Linked DNA regions of Coturnix japonica. The protein of the gene in region 1 binds, or shares a complex with, the protein of each later gene. Links are inferred from orthologs where the notes say so. Each region holds a gene or a part of one and is shown in the gene's direction. Other genes may lie near its edges. The genes, in order: ACVR2B and GDF2.

Region 1 (8,117 bases):
CTATGGGTCTAAGGGCAATATCTCAGGAGCAGACCCCTTTGCATGCTGTACCCCCCCCCTGAACTGTCAGCACCTGATGCCTCGCTCTGTATCCCAGAGCTAAGAAAAGCCCTGAAAGCAGCAGTGTGTCTGCCCCATCCCTCACTATTTTTACTGGCCTTGCTGAAGCCAGACTGCAAAGGGCAGATTTATCAGCACGGGGGGTTGGCTTTTTTAGTGCAAAACCCACAAGCTTATTCAGACAGCAGCAGGGACGGTGCACAGCAGCGTCTGGAGGTCCTGGCTCTCATTTAGAGCTGCTGCAAATATAGAAATTCCAGTGAAGTTAATTGTAGCTCCTGACTGACAACTTAGGACGCTGTTATACAAGGGCTGCACCGAAAGTAATGCCTCCTATTTTGTGGTGTTGGCCCACGATGTCAGAGGTGAATGTTGGTAGGATGGCAAAAGAGGTTGAACCTTCCCAACCATATTCCATTACATTTTGTTTCCATGTCACAGATGGCAGCAGAGGGGCAGCTGGACAGAATGGTGTCTGATATAGGAGCGTCTGTGAAACAGAGGTGTGGAATTCAGGTCCTCCATGCAGAAAAAATGGCAGCCATTGACATTTATCAATGCTTGCTGAATGGTTATGGAGACCCAATGGTAGATGTGAGCACAGTGAAAGTTAGACTCCCTGCAATAACCCCATCATAGCAGCTGTGAAACAGTGGGTGCAGATTTGCACAAGCGTGGCATGCAGACTTGTTCATGGCTGGTCAAAATGCACGGCTAACAATGGTGCCTATGCTGAAAAAATGGTGTTTTGTAGCTGAGGATTTGCACTATCAAATAATATTATTGCGCTCTTTATGTCAGCTGTAGTTTCCATGGGAATAAATAAGAGGCATTACTTTTGGAGCAACCTATGCGTTATTAAGACCTTGCTCCATAGAATGCATTACTGGGAAGGACTTAATGATGACACGACAGGGAAAGTGAGAATTTATTTGCTCAGGGTTACTCACATAAAGTCATACACACGTACTCATGTACACATTTCTGTTTCTCTTACCCAGAATGGTGCGTGCCTCCTATCCTACCCACAGCAGTGTTTTAGGAACCAGTATAGGGAATGCAGCCAGAACACCATTTTGCTGCCTCGGGTCCCTCAGTCTGTGCTCCTCACTTGTTGCAGGCAATGTGGGTTTTGCTTCACAAGGCTGCAGAGCGATCAGAGCGGTTGCATCATTGCCCTGCAACATGCAAAATAAATCCACATCAGCGTATACAGGAGGAGGTAAAGGAAACGCTGGGTCCCTTCCCTCTGTATTTTCCATGTTTATAACACCCCTGTCAGCATACATTGCCATTCACTGCAGAAATTACATCTCACCAGCGCTACAATAGGATTTGAAGATAAATGACACGCAAGCAGCGCAGCTCTGTGCCGGCTTAAGTGATCCCAGTACCTTCATCACCAGCACCTCCCATGCAAGATATTGGGATGCACGGAGCCCACTTGTTCCAACCCGTCACACGACAAAGATTGAGTGTCATATGACTGTGAGCAGCACAAAACCATCCTGGATAGATGGCTTTCAGAGGGCTTTCAGACCGCGACGTGCGATGATGGCACCTAACCTTAACCCTAATCGCTAAACCCCTGCAGCCCCATTGCCAATATTCCGGATGGTTGGTGCAAGTTTTCAAGTGTCCACGTGCCCAGGCTGTAACATTCCCACCCGCCATACCCTTTCACGTTGCAAGAGGTGACAACATTTTAGCATTTCAGGTGGGTTAACACCCCCCTGTGAAACAATGTAAGCAAGGCGGGCTGCCGCCCAGGTGCTCAGGGGATAAAGGACAATCAGGGGGACTGCTTACAAGGGGGCAAAACTCACCTTGGGGGCTATATGAGGTGCTGGGAAAGGGGCTCCATTATGGTGCTGTGATTGAGAACAGGAGCAGTGCTGGTAGGGAGCGCTTGGGGAGCCTGATTGGAGGGCTGCATTGCTCTTGGTCAGAGCTGAAGACGAAGGATGGACGCTGATGGGTGTCAGCATGTTTATATTTTACTGTCTCACCCATTTCTCTGTTCTTCAGCTGCTTCAGAGTTTATCCTCCAATGAAACAAGTGGCCCAGTAGGAGATGTTGGCTCATGTTTTTTCTTCTCTTGAAGCTGTGACACTCCCTGAGCTTCAGCCAGGAGCCCTTCTCTCTCCATTGCCCCCATGTCCAGCCCCACTGCACTTGTGTGCAGTCACAGAATCACAGAATGACAGAACCATTAAGGACCGAAAGACCTCTAAGATCATCTGGTCCAACCACCAACCCATCCCACCATGCCCACTATGTCCCCCAGGGCCACATCTCCATGGTTCTTGAGGTCCTCCATGGTCAGTGACCCCACTGCCTCCATGAGCACACTGCGTCAATGCAAGGAGCAGGGATCAACCCCCAGCTCTGACCTCTCACAAACACATCTCCATCTCATTTCCCAGCCGCGCTTTAACTTACCCAGGTGCCACGACACACCTTGCTTTCTCCTGACTCCCCGTGGGCTTTGGTTTCAGTGCATTTTGCTCCATATTTGTATTATTTTGGATGCTTTCCTGCAGCTGTACTGGCTGCAAAGTCCCCATGACCTCCCCATGCCATGTATGTAAGGTTCTGTGGGTGCCCTCCCTTTCCGAGGCATGGCAGCATGAAGGATATCGGCCATCAGTTCCCAGCAGCTCCACATGGGATCCTGCTCACAGCACAGAGCACATTCCATGGCTGTTATACATACACAAAAACCACCTTCCCAGAGGTTACAACCTCTCTCTAAGGTGAAGTTGTTTCCCAAAGGTGAAAAAAAACCAAACACCCAAACCACCCGAATTTCTCCACGGAGCAAAGCGCTTCTAAAGTTTGCAGAGAACGATTTCCATTTCCCCAGAGCTTCGGGCACCCAAGCTGACCATCCAGTTTCTCCACCCCTCTTCCCCCTTAAGACCCCTCCGGGCTCCCTATTTTCGCACGATCCTCATTATAATTGCAATAAATCGCGGGCGGAGCTCAGCATCCGCAGCGCTGGCGATGGAGAGAAGCCCGCTAACAGCACAAGGGCCCTAACAAGGACATCGCAGGGGCTCCCCACGCACCCCCAGCCCCGCACCTCCCGGCGCAGCGCGGTTGCAGGAGCCGCGGGCGGTGCGCGGAGCTCCGCGGGGTTGACGGGCAGCGCCGCGCCCCATTCAGAACAGCGGAGCCCCCGCTCCGCTCCGCCCCCCTCCAACCCTCTTTGTATCAAACATCCGGGTTTCCCCCTCGCTGGCTCCGCTTTGGCTTCTCTCTCTCTCTCTCTTTTTTTTTTTTTAGAAGCCATTTTGGACTCGGTTCAGTTTTTTTTTTTTTTTTCCTAATAATAAAAAAAAAAAATAAAAAATCACCTTTTCTAACCCCCTTCCCCGATATATATATTTTTTTGCCCCCCCTCCCAATTTATTAATTGATTTTTAATTGAACTCCCCGCCCCAATCTCTCTCCTCCTTCGCGATGCCGCGCCCCGCGCCCCCTCCTCGGGCTCTTGCCTGGACGCGGATCCCCTCGCAAAGTTTCTCCTTCAGGGGGGAGGTTTATAGGGTGGGGGAAGGGAAAATAAAAAAGGAGGGGGGGGGGGGGGGGGGAGGAGGGAAACACAAAGAATATATAGAGGGAAATAATAATAATAAAGAGAAACGGGTGGCTGTGCGTTGCGCGTGAATTGCGCGGAAAGCCGAGCGGAGGGGGGCGTGTGCGCTCGGCCTTTACTGCTGGGGGAGCCGGAGGGGCTGGGTTGGGTTGGGAGGAGGAGGAGAAGAGAGGAGGAGGAGGAGGAGGAGGAGGAGGAGGAGGAGTGGGGGGGAGGCGGTGTGCGGTGCACGCCGCGCTCCCAGCACAAAAGCGCAGCGAAAAGAAACTCTTGGAAAGCGCGGAGCGAGCGGCGGGGCCGGGCGGAGCGGGTCGGGCTCTTCCTCTCCACTGGATACATTTTGCAACTGCGAAGGAATTAAATCCAATTTTTCAGGATTTTTTTTTTCCCCCCTCATTTATTTTTCTTTATTTTTCTTTATATGTGTATATATATTTTTATTTTTATTTTTTCTCGAGAAGAAGCACCGCGTCGTTTCCCTCCTCCTTTTCCCCCTCTGCTTCCAGCTCTTTATTTTGAATACGTTTTATATTTCCCCTTGGGAAAGAGGGGCACGCGAGGAGAGAGAGAGAGACAGAGAGAAACAAACAAACAAAAACCAAAACGCAAAACCACACCGAGTGAAGGAATATGAGCGCTTCGTGGCTGACTTTGGCCGTGCTCTGTGCAACTTTGGGCGCAGGTAAGCGCGTTCCGCCGTGTTTACCTCTACGCTCGGCTTCCCGACCTCACCATTGAATGGGCCGGTGAGGTTCTGAACAGCCTTAAAAGCGGAGCGGAACCCCCAGACCCGTCGGGTTGAACCCCTTCCCTCCTCCCCCCCTCCCAAAGCTTTGATATGGTTGTTTTCTTAGCCCCCTTCCCCCTCTCACCTCCCCCCTTTTTCCCCGAGCTCTGTGCTGGCAGGACGGAGCCTTGCCGTGCTGCCGCCGCTTTTTTTTTTTGTTCCCTTCGCTGCCGGTGGGAATTAGCGGCGATGTAAACACGGCGAGAGATCGAGGAAACTTTGAGGCGATGGGCATTGACTCGTGGGGGAGGGCTGGAAAGGGTGGGAGAGTGGGGTACACACACACAGAAGTTGGGGAGCCGGGGGTGGCTCCGCTCAGGTATTGGGGCCGCGCGTGTGTGTGTGTGCGCCCCGTTCCTACCGGGGAGCTTAACCCTGGGGGAAGACCCCCTCCCCTCTAAAAGAAACCACATGGGGACCCCCCACCCTTCCCCTCAGCCCTACAGGGCTTTGCTTGTTTGCACCAACCGAGCCCCATGGGGCTGCTCGGCGCTGCTGGGAGAAAGTTGGGCAAAAGGGGGTGTGTGTGTTGGTGGTGGTGGGGAGCATCCATGCAAGAGGGGTTTCTGTTGCATTGAGGGGGCGGGGGGGGAGGGGGGGACTAAAAGCGTTAGTTGTGTTTTCATTCATTTTAATTCATTGGATTAATTCTGCCTTAATCGAACCGCTTTGCCCCCAGATTCAGCCGGGGGGGGGGGGGGGGGGGGGCAAGGGGTGAAGTTCCGAAGCGGCCGTGGGGGCGGGGGGGGGTGCAACGCAGCTGGGAGAGAGGAGAGCATCCCGTAGCCCTCTGGGGGAAGGGGCAGAACCCTGTAAGCCCCCCCGCCCACACATCCTAATAACAACTGCAAGCACGGCCACGCTTGAAGCCCCTTTACCCCCTCTCCTCCCCCCGTTTCCCCCTCCTCTTATTTTATTTATTGTTTATGACTGCTGTATATTCTTCATGGGCAACGGCTATTTGTTGTGCCCCCCCCCCCCCCTTCCGGCCACCCCACCTTGATCCCTGTACAGACCCCCCTCATTAACCTGGGTGCTGGGCAGTAACTTGTTACGTTCCCTGCAGCCCCAGGGGGGTCACATAAGCAGGGATGGGGGAGGCATATATATATAAAATATGTAATGGTGGGCGGGGGGACACACATATAAGGGGGATACGTATATTGGGGGGGGGGGTGGGGTGAGGGGAGCACCTTTGAGGCTGAGCGGGTGCAGCGTGTGGGTGGGAGGCAGCGATGCTGCGGCCGTGCCCATCGCGGAGCGGGGAGTTCCCCTCCATCCTATAGCAAAGAAGGATTTGGGGGCAGGGAGGGAAAGGGGGGGTGGGGGTTCCTCGTGCCCCTCACCCACCCCACGCCCCCCGGTTCGGCTCTCACCCGCGGGGGGAGCGGTGCCGGCCCCGGGGCGCTCCCGCTGCCGCTTCCTTTGTTCCGAGTGCCCATTAAATATGCGCTGCCACCGCCTGACTGTGGCACGGCGAGCGGTGCCACGCCGCTTAATTGTCATTATCAGCGTCGTTATGGCTTTATTTCTTAAGGCGCGCCGAAACCTGGAAGGAGGGTGGGAAAGGCGAAAGGAGGGGGTTAAAAAATGAAAGATCACGTTAATTTATTAGCGGGTAGCGAAGGCAGCTCGGGGTTTTATCGCATCGCTGGGACACTTGTGTGCAGCTTTGTTTCCATGTGCATGGAATGGGGGTGAGGGTATTTACGTAGCAGGTACCGGGAAGGCGCTCTCCCGGCTGCAGGATTCTATTACGTGCAGCAAAGAGGTGGATGGACGATGTGTTTTCTTTCTGTAGGTCTCGGAATCCTTTCATCTGGTGTGGTTCGATACAAGGGATGGCTTCCGGGTTGGCTGGTTTGTTGTTGTTTGGGGTGGGTTGGGTTGGTTGGTTGGGTTGGGGTTGGTTTTTTCAGCACGTTCCTATGGCTGTGAGGAGATCGGAGTTGGAGGAGAAAAGTGGTTGATGGCAAAAAATAATAACTAACCCCTAAAGGTTCCTAAATAGATCAGGTTATAAAAAGGATAATGTGATGGAGCATACCTACACTGACCAGCCCCCAAAAATATGATAAAGAAAGCCCCGAAAACGATCGCAATTCAGTTTGTTTGGAAGGATCCCCTCGGATCACTCAATCAGAGCTGGAGCAATTCCCTAAACCCCTCCCTCTCTTTTAAAGCCCTTTCTGCATTTCTTGTGCTATCGACCAGCATTTATTGACACGATCCTCGTTGTCCGGTTTTCCCTTTCCTAAATTAAGAAGAAAGGCACCGAGTCGCTGTGCCCCAGGTTGGAGCATGTTGTTGGGTTGCACAGCCAGGCTTTGTGTGTGTGTGTGTATGTGTGTGTATATAGGGCTGTGCAAAAGTGGTGGGCTTTTCGAAATCCACTTTGACCTCCATTGTTGGTGCTCCCTTGGCTGCCCATGACAAAGCCAGCGCAGCCCGCTCTTCTTTGATCTAAATAAAGAAATAAGTCAAAAAACCCACAAAAACATAAAGGAAAGAAATCTGTTACGCTTAATTTTTTTTTTTTTTTTTTTTTTTTGGAATACTGAGGATTCATTGAGGAAAACATTATGTTCATTTTTAGCCCTTTGTTTGCAAATTTTCTGCAGCCCAAATGTTCCCAAATCGTGTTTGAATCTCGGAGCTGTAGAAAATACAGAAGGTGTAAAAGGATTTGTCTTGCAGAATGCATTGCTAAGGCGCTTTTCCGAGCCATTACATTACTTTTATTTTGGTGCAAGTTTAAGTAATGCCGTGCAGCAATGAACTGTGCTGCAAATGGATCTGCCCTGCTCTTTCACTGTCTTGTACTTATCCTCTTGTGCTTGAGAAAGGGAATAAAACTGGCTTCATTAGCTTGCTAATTAAACACAATGAAGTGCGTGGCCCAAGGTTAATGGCGATGGCCTTTAAAAACACAAAACTCTTGAACAGGTGTTGGGATCTATATATTTTTTTTTAATCTGTCATCAAATCCAGATAATTATACCACAGAGATAACCATTGTCACAGCTCCGTGGAGAAGAAAATGCTGCGGTAAAGATGCGAGTAGGCATTATTTTCAGGGGTGTTATTCATACAGCGCAATCCCCCCTCCTCCTCCCCCTCCTTCCCCATTTCAGAGCATCTTCTGCGCTCTGCCCTCAGTGCTGATCACAGATTCCAGATCCATGGACCAGAAGGAGATGAAGTATTTACACACTGAAATTTCTGCCATTTCTCGTGGCTCTGAGCAGCCCATCCTTGGCCAATTAAAGCAGTGAGCTCCTGCTCCCTGTGTTAAAGCTGTCACCAACCTCCTGTCCAGTCTGCTCTCCATCAGCTCAAACACGCTTGTCAGGTTTTTTTGTGCTTGGCGTGACGCAACAGTTGTAGACCTCCCCTGCTGCCTCTGAATAGATGCTGGAGAAGAAAGAAAGAAACTGACCAGCCTGATTTGTGGGGTTTTGTTTGTTTGTTTTTTAATACTTTTTTTTCCTTCTTTTTATTTATTTGTCCTTTCTCCCCCTACTATCTTCCACTCCCCGGCACTCCCCATGCCAGCAGGGACCAGTGCAGTGCCATGGAGCAGGTTGTCCAAGGAGGCTGTGGATGCCCCATTCCTGGAGGCATTCAAGGCCAGGCTGGATGTGGCACTGGGCAGCCTGGGCTGCTGG
Region 2 (7,578 bases), on another chromosome or scaffold:
TGAAGACAGATTTACTAAGAAGCTTGAATTTATCAAGGGTCCCCTCACAAGTGAAGACCAAAGAAGAACCACCACAGTTCATGATTGATTTATACAACAGATATACAGCGGACAAGTCCTCAATCCCTGCATCCAACATTGTGAGGAGCTTCAGCACTGAAGGTAGGAGAAGTCCTAAGTGTGTGGACATGAACTTTTAAAGAAATATATGAACAGCAGTCAGATGCTTTTGAAATTCTGAGGAAACTGGTTGCCTAACTTCCGCAGTCTACTTAGAAAGTAAATAGATTAAAATTTTGGACATTGGCCTTGCTCCTTTCAATCTTTAAAAAAATATAACTAAATAATTTCTGATATTTTTGTTGTACAATTTTATCTATTTGAGACAATATGTTGAGCACAGGGTTTACAGGTAGAGATTTGTGACTGCTTTTTGTTTTGTTTTTAATGTTAGAAAACAAATATGTGATCACCTATAGCACAGGCGTTCATGACAGAGGACGCTTCTTTCTAGGAAGCTTCTGTCATTCTTAAGCACAATAGCCAACTGAGAAATTTGTGCCTCGATCCAAGCAAGGATCCAGAAGTGCCCACCCCAAATTCTGGTTTAGATGGGAAGATTTACATGGAAAGTAGTAGCCAGGCTTGTCTTGAGTTGAAAAAAGTCCAGATCTACCTGTGTAACAATAAATAGATTGTTGAAAGCTCCATCTCAAGACACTAAAAAAAAAGAAAAATGCTATAAGTACAGTCTTTGGAATAGAAATGAGACAGGAAGAATCTGTTCTTACAAAAAAATTGATTGTATACAGGTAACAACACTATGAGGATCTCCAGATTCCCAAATAAGTGACTTTAATCCTGAAATGGAAAGAAACTTCAGCAGTATGAACTAGATTTTTGTTCCCACACCCCACTCTCCACTCAGACTGCTTTAGAGGGAAGATGGGTCAACAATAGCAAATTAGAATTGCCCTAAAACACAATGATAATTGAGTAATTATCTTAAACTGATGACCAAAAAGATATCATTCAGTGATGACTTTAAAACACTAACAACCTGATCTCTCACAAAAATATCTGCCCTTTCCAAGGCAGAGTTGCTGGCTCTACACGTTTGCAGAAAAAACACCAAAGCACCATGAATGCTCACAAAAGCCTGGAATATACCTAAACACAAAGAACTGTTTATCACCTAGTCCTAATTTAAACAGACTCTTGAGCTTTGATTCAGGTTTTTCACATGTTTTCTGTGTTCTCTAACTCTCAATAACACAAACTGCTTTCAAAGCTATTTGAAGACAACAAAAACCCCAGCAGAATTAATTCTCAAAGAGACAAATATATACCATGCTTCTCTGTAATAGGAGAGCAGTTTATCCTACTGCACTACTATGAGCGGTGAATTCTAAAAGTTTTTTATAGGAATCCTTTCTTTATAGGAATCCTTTCTGTAAAATCTCTTCAGGAAATTGCTAAACTTAACACTTAACATCCAGTGATGAGTACCTGCTACAGCACCACCTGCACCTTGTTCTAGGAAGACTCTTCCTGCTACCCCTCCACTGCTTCAGACATTCACCTGCATGCAGCCTTGGTGAAAATGCTACCAACATCAAGGAACTACATTTTATCTTTTCACTCCCTGCTCCTTGAAACCTGGCCAGGAGATGGTATCTGTTTCTTTTTGATTGTTTGTTTAATGCTAGGTAGCCGTGGTCATATTTTATTCACAAAACACATCCCGCACCTTTTAAAAGCAAGTTATTTGGACTGTCAGGAGCACTGTAACAATAAGTTTTTATTTCCTATTGTAGATGTTGTTTCTTTAACTTCACCAGAAGAAAACCCATTTCAGAAACACATCTTGTTCTTCAACGTCTCTATTCCACGGTATGAAGAAATCACCAGAGCTGAACTGAGAATCTTTATCTCCTGTCACGAGGAAGCTGTGTCTCCCTCCATACCGGAAGGCAACATGGTCATTTATGATGTTCTAGACGGGGACCATTGGGAAAACAAGGAAGGTACCAAATCTTTTCTTGTCTCCCACAGTATTCAGGAGTGTGGCTGGAAGATGTTTGAAGTGTCCAGCGCTGTGAAAAGATGGGTTAAGGCAGACAAGATGAAGACTAAAAACAAGCTAGAGGTTGTAATAGAGAGTAAGGCTCTGGGTGGTTTCCCTTGTGGGAAGCTGGATATTAGTGTTACTCATGACACTAAGAATCTGCCCCTCTTAATAGTGTTCTCCAATGATCGCAGCAATGGTACAAAAGAGACCAAAGCAGAGCTCCGGGAGATGATTGTTCATGAACAAGAAAATGTGCTAAACAAATTAGGAAAGAATAACTCTTCATCTGAAGAAGAACAGAAAGAGGAAAAAGCCATTGCTAGGCCCCATCAGCATTCCTCCAGAAGCAAGAGAAGCATTGGAGCAAACCACTGTCGGAGAACTTCACTCCATGTGAACTTTAAAGAGATTGGTTGGGATTCTTGGATCATTGCACCCAAAGATTATGAGGCTTTTGAGTGTAAAGGAGGTTGCTTCTTCCCTCTGACAGATAATGTTACGCCAACGAAACATGCTATTGTCCAGACTCTAGTGCATCTCCAAAACCCTAAGAAAGCTTCTAAGGCCTGTTGTGTTCCAACTAAATTGGATTCAATCTCTATTCTTTATAAGGATGATGCTGGTGTACCCACTTTGATATATAACTATGAAGGGATGAAAGTGGCAGAATGTGGCTGCAGGTAGTATATGCAGAATATCTAAGAAGAATACACTTCTGTCTGTGAAACTGTACATTAGTGATGCAAATGAAAATCCTTGCAAACAAGGTTTGGAGCATGGTGTGGGGTTGGTTGTTGTTGCTGCTTTTAAAGGAAAGCTGGCATTTAAAGAATGTCCATCAGTGTAAATGTCCTGCATTATATGATATTAATTAAAATGTTGTGAGATTGAAAGAACTATGCATTATTTGGCTAGAGTGACAGAAACAAAACTTATTTGAATTTTTCTGTTAAACTAGTTCTTTTCAGATCACATGCAGCCTTTGGGACTGAGGATGTCCTCTAGGTTTCTATGCCTCTTAGAAATTTAACTCTCTCAGCCAGTTCTTATTTCCAGCTTCTGTGAAGTAACTGAATTGCAATTAGTTTGCATGATAAAGCAGTGAGTCTAAATCCTGCAAATCTTTACTCACATCAGTAATCTCAGAGACATTTAAAGTCATTTTAATGCAAAGTACTTACTCATATAAGTGAAGTGTTTTTTAATTTCCCAAACAGATGACACTTTCCATCTCATTTGATTCCAAGGCTTCCTTCTGTGGGTAGCAGGTGCCTTGGTTTCAGCTTTCTTATCCTCAGTGTCCCTATTTTTACCCTTTTATGGCACATACTTGAATGATAAGTACAGCCTTCCGCTTCTAAGACACTGTTTCCTAGGAGGAGCAGCAGGCCTTATCTCCTCACAAAGATAAGGAGCCACTTTGACCCACTGCATATTCTTAGTATTTCTTTGCAAGAACATGCAGTCAAATGACATCCAGTCTTAGGATCTGTACCCTGACAGCTGTGGGGGTTGGCAGTGCTCAGCACTTGTGAAAAGAAATAAACAAGCCAATTTTTTGAGGCCTGACAAATTTCTTCGGAGTCTAACTCCAGGCTCTATTTCTTTATCTTTTCTTAGGATAAACACTATTTTGCATATGAAATTCTTTCACCCTTTAGAAGTCTGGGAACAATTGATAACTCCTTTCTATGTTCTGGGACACTTACACTACTTTATGGGAAATTCACTGCCATACAACAGTTCTCCCATCTTTATTTCTATTTTCACTAAACAACTCCATGTTTCCTGCAACTATGGAAAACTTTCTTTGATTGTAATGAAGGTTTTGCCTGTACAAGATAAGACAGTGCTTTGCATTGGTTTCAGGTGCAAATTCAAAGTGCCATGAAATGCCAACACACTCCACTCCATTTCTACTATTCCACCTTCCACCAAAAAGAATCTACCATTTTTGATTCAAATCCACAGCAAACTACATATATATGCAAAATATTAAAAATTAACGAAGCAAAAATATGAAAAGAAGCTTAATATATGGAAGCAACATGATTTAAATGGATACAGATGTTTTAAATTAGGACAGCTTGTGTGCAAGACAAATTAATTTGCTATGAACAGCTCAGCTTGAAATCTAATATGCAATTTATTTTCTATTGTTAACTTAATACAGAATACACAGCAGGTGAGTGTGAGCAGAGCTGTTGTAATTCAAGAACTGTTGGTTACATCACAACCCATGAGCACAAAGCATGATTCACCAGAATCCTGTGGCTGATTTACAGCCTCTTCCATTAGAAGAGGGTTGCAATTGGATCAGATCTGAGGTCTGGATCCATGAGAATTCTATCCACCCATAGCTGAGTGTCATTAACCTCTTAGGTTTCATGTGACATCCTCTCATTTTACTACTCCCCACTGGCTTCTGTCATCTTACAGTTGTTATATCTTCCTCCTTTTGGAAATCTGTTTTCTCTCTCTTTTGTATTGACATCTCTGAGATTTACAATATTTCGCACAACTTCTATTCTTCACATAAAAGAAGCTACTAAACAAGCATCTGGTGTGATCACATTAGAATTCTTTTTCACTCATGTGTTAAGGTAATTGTAGCTGTTTGCCCTCAAGTCATCTAAACACAAGGTTCTAGGCTGTAATTCTGACTTCACTGAGCACAGGACTTTATGAATTATGAAATTAAAAAGTGGAAAAGGAGAAAGACTAGTCCACACAATGTTCACATGTTCACAAATGTATTTGCTCAAAAATCTATTATTTTCTCAGAGGGAAAAAAAAAGGGGGGGTGGTGGGGAAGGAGAATATAAGAAGTCACTTTTAGCTCAATTCAGATCCCAGCTATTCTATCAACTTCAGTAAAGCTCTTAAGACACTTTCTCAAAACCGTACTACAAGTCTCTTTTGTACTTCAACCAAAAAACAATAAAAAATCAATTTCATCTTTAGCCAGCACTAGCAATCATACTCCCATAGGCCATACTGTTTTGGATGGTACAGAAATAAACCAAAACATGAATCTTTCCACACTGCAATGAACAGGGTCAAGAGAAAATGAGAACCTGATAGCAACTACAAATGCTACCTACAGGACAGCAGAAGTATGTGCCAAATCAATGTTTGGTTTTACATTGTAAATTTAGCTGCCTACATTTTGAATATTTCATTTTAAACAATTGGTCACAGTCTCTATCTTTTCAGCTGCTTAGGAACACAAAGCATCAGCGAGGTGAACAAAAAGCACTAGAAAATATACAAGTTACAAAGTTAGGTGGGCAAAGCACCTTCCTACCTGCATGAAGTCAGGCCTCATTAGACACTAAAAAACACTTTCTCACCACCAGAATATAAACATTAACCAGTAGCATGCTGCTATAACAGAGCATATTGAGGCTTGCGCGGACATACAGCTAAAAATAAAGCTTGTTTGTTTAACATAAACACAAGGCTAAAGTACATCAACATATTCAAGATCATTAGCTGTGTAATAACAGCCCTTTAATATTACAATCATCAACTGTATAGTTTCTAGCTATGTGATCTGTTGATAGCCGCTTAATCATACCATTCTGTATGTTTATCTATTGTATGTATGGGTTAAGAGCCAATAGCCTCACAAGATTCTGGAGCTATTCACTTAATCTCTGTTTAGATACCTTTCTGCTGAAAATAACCTGACAATACAGAAATGCTAACCTAGAGTTCCTGATTGTTGAAATTTTAGTAACAGGTTTTAGACTCTTTAAAGTCAGCTTATCCTTTCAGACACAATTGTGCTCTAGTAGAACTAACACTGCTTCTGGGTCACAGCAGAATCTACTCCAACCTTCTCAGAACATGGCCACAACAATTATGCAACACAGAGTTCTGCATAGGGCTGGCTGCACTGTTAGCTGCAAGCGGAATTAATGTCACGCTGTAGCTGCCCATAAGCAGTACTGAATTAAGTCCCTTATTGCAAAGAATGGAACAGAACAGAATAGAACAACTTAAGAAAACAAATAAATAGCAGATGAACAATGTCTGTGAAGCAAGATGTATGGGAAATTGATAATCACAGCCTGAACTTCTGATTAATTAGCTGAGGCAAGTGTTGGGTCAGCTGTAGGAGCACAGGTGAGAGTAATTTAGCTGCACTCCCAGAAGGGGTGGAGTCCTCTAGACCTTATCTAAGGGCTGACCGCCACTAATCTCAAAGCATCTCTTTGAGATTGCTCCTTGGTGAAGATTGCCTCAGAATTTCCCAGCAGACCGAAGGCTTCCATACAGGTGAGTTTTTCCTGTAAATAACCTTTTGAATTTTTACTACCATCTTTATGTTATTGTCACCATACAGGAACCTTTTGGATGTTTACTGCCATCTTTTTGTTATTGTCACTGTACACAAGACCTTACCCTTAAATGTCTTAAAAGGAGCTCTACTTCTCCTTTGGCTGCATCTGAGAGCAACTACCTTCCTCTAACCCATTTGAACTCCCTAACTTACTGTTTATTATGTTTCTAGCATAAGCAAAACCAGGGTAGGTTCTGCAGCAGTTTCTGGAGTGCAAGGCACTTTAAAGAGCTCTGTTTGTCTCATTGCAGGGCAGGAAGATCAAGCTGGAGGTGCCTGAGCCACAGATTTCCTCTGTGCTGCTCTAGGTCTGTCTGGGACCTATAAAACATCTTGTGGGCATTTCTTCACTCTACAATGTTTTCTCTAAATCTTGTCTTGCACTGCCTCAGCAGCATCTCTGGGCTGTCAGGAGCCTTTCTTACCTCCCCTGCCCCACCACCATGGTGTCTTAAATATAATGTCAGTTGTATGCCAGTCTCCCTTTGGGCTGCCCACAGCCTGTTTTGTTCTTGGTCTCTACTCTGGCTGCAGCTGCTGGGTTGCTTTAGCACTGTTATCCTGCCAAGCTGCTGCCTCACAGTTGTGGTTAACTGCTGCCAAGATGGCCTTGTTTCTTTCTTGTACCTTGCTTTCCAGTCTCTTCTAGATCATCAGTCACAAATCAGGTGAAGCCTTAGTGTAGGCATGGAAAATTAGGTGCTGTGAGTCAGCCCCTTTCTGAGGTGCAAGCTTTGGCTGGAGTCCTATAGGTTGTCTGCTGGTCCTCACAAGCCTTGATGCTGGACCAGTACACCAGAAGCACTAAGCAAGCAACAGCCTAGCAGCCCAGGGCTTGGTACCAGGCTGGTAACCAAAGCTTTTGAGCAAATAGTGGTGGAGAACAGCACTTTCAAGCTAGATAGCTTAAAATGGCAATAGTTAGTCTGGCTGGACATACTGAGCACTTGCATCCTATGTCAGCACGTTGAATAGCATGGGTAGGATATGTTTGATCTGGCGTGCCATCAGCAGCACAGTGTCTAGGATTTAGCTTGGTGACAGCTGTTTGTAGTACCTGGCAGCTTAACATAGGCTTCTGCGTGTTACTGGAGTTTTCACCTTTTCAAATAATAAGGATAGGAGGTCTGCTGATGAAATATTTAATATTCACTTCTTA

What was found.
Region 2: the proteins of ACVR2B (region 1) and GDF2 are in contact, whole or in part, in a crystal structure (PDB 4FAO), measured with the Homo sapiens proteins. The link is inferred for Coturnix japonica from reciprocal best matches to the Homo sapiens genes ACVR2B and GDF2. Residues at the interface, in NP_001097.2 of Homo sapiens: Asn35, Glu39, Cys49, Glu50, Glu52, Lys55, Leu57, Tyr60, Ser62, Arg64, Val73, Lys74, Cys77, Trp78, Leu79, Asp81, Phe82, Asn83, Glu94, Gln98, Val99, Phe101; in NP_057288.1 of Homo sapiens: Arg333, Ile346, Ala347, Pro348, Lys349, Glu350, Tyr351, Glu352, Lys397, Ser399, Pro400, Ile401, Ser402, Val403, Leu404, Lys406, Gly410, Val411, Pro412, Thr413, Leu414, Tyr416, His417.

What each region holds. Positions count from the first base shown.
Region 1 is NC_029517.1:5,164,994-5,173,110, reverse strand, and holds the start of ACVR2B (activin receptor type-2B), read left to right. Parts: upstream 1-3,865; 5' UTR 3,866-4,292; coding exon 4,293-4,344; intron 4,345-8,117. UniProt on the Homo sapiens protein: Transmembrane serine/threonine kinase activin type-2 receptor forming an activin receptor complex with activin type-1 serine/threonine kinase receptors (ACVR1, ACVR1B or ACVR1c).
Region 2 is NC_029521.1:15,464,745-15,472,322, reverse strand, and holds the end of GDF2 (growth/differentiation factor 2), read left to right. Parts: coding exon 1-162; intron 163-1,817; coding exon 1,818-2,755; 3' UTR 2,756-4,858; downstream 4,859-7,578. UniProt on the Homo sapiens protein: Potent circulating inhibitor of angiogenesis. Signals through the type I activin receptor ACVRL1 but not other Alks. Signaling through SMAD1 in endothelial cells requires TGF-beta coreceptor endoglin/ENG.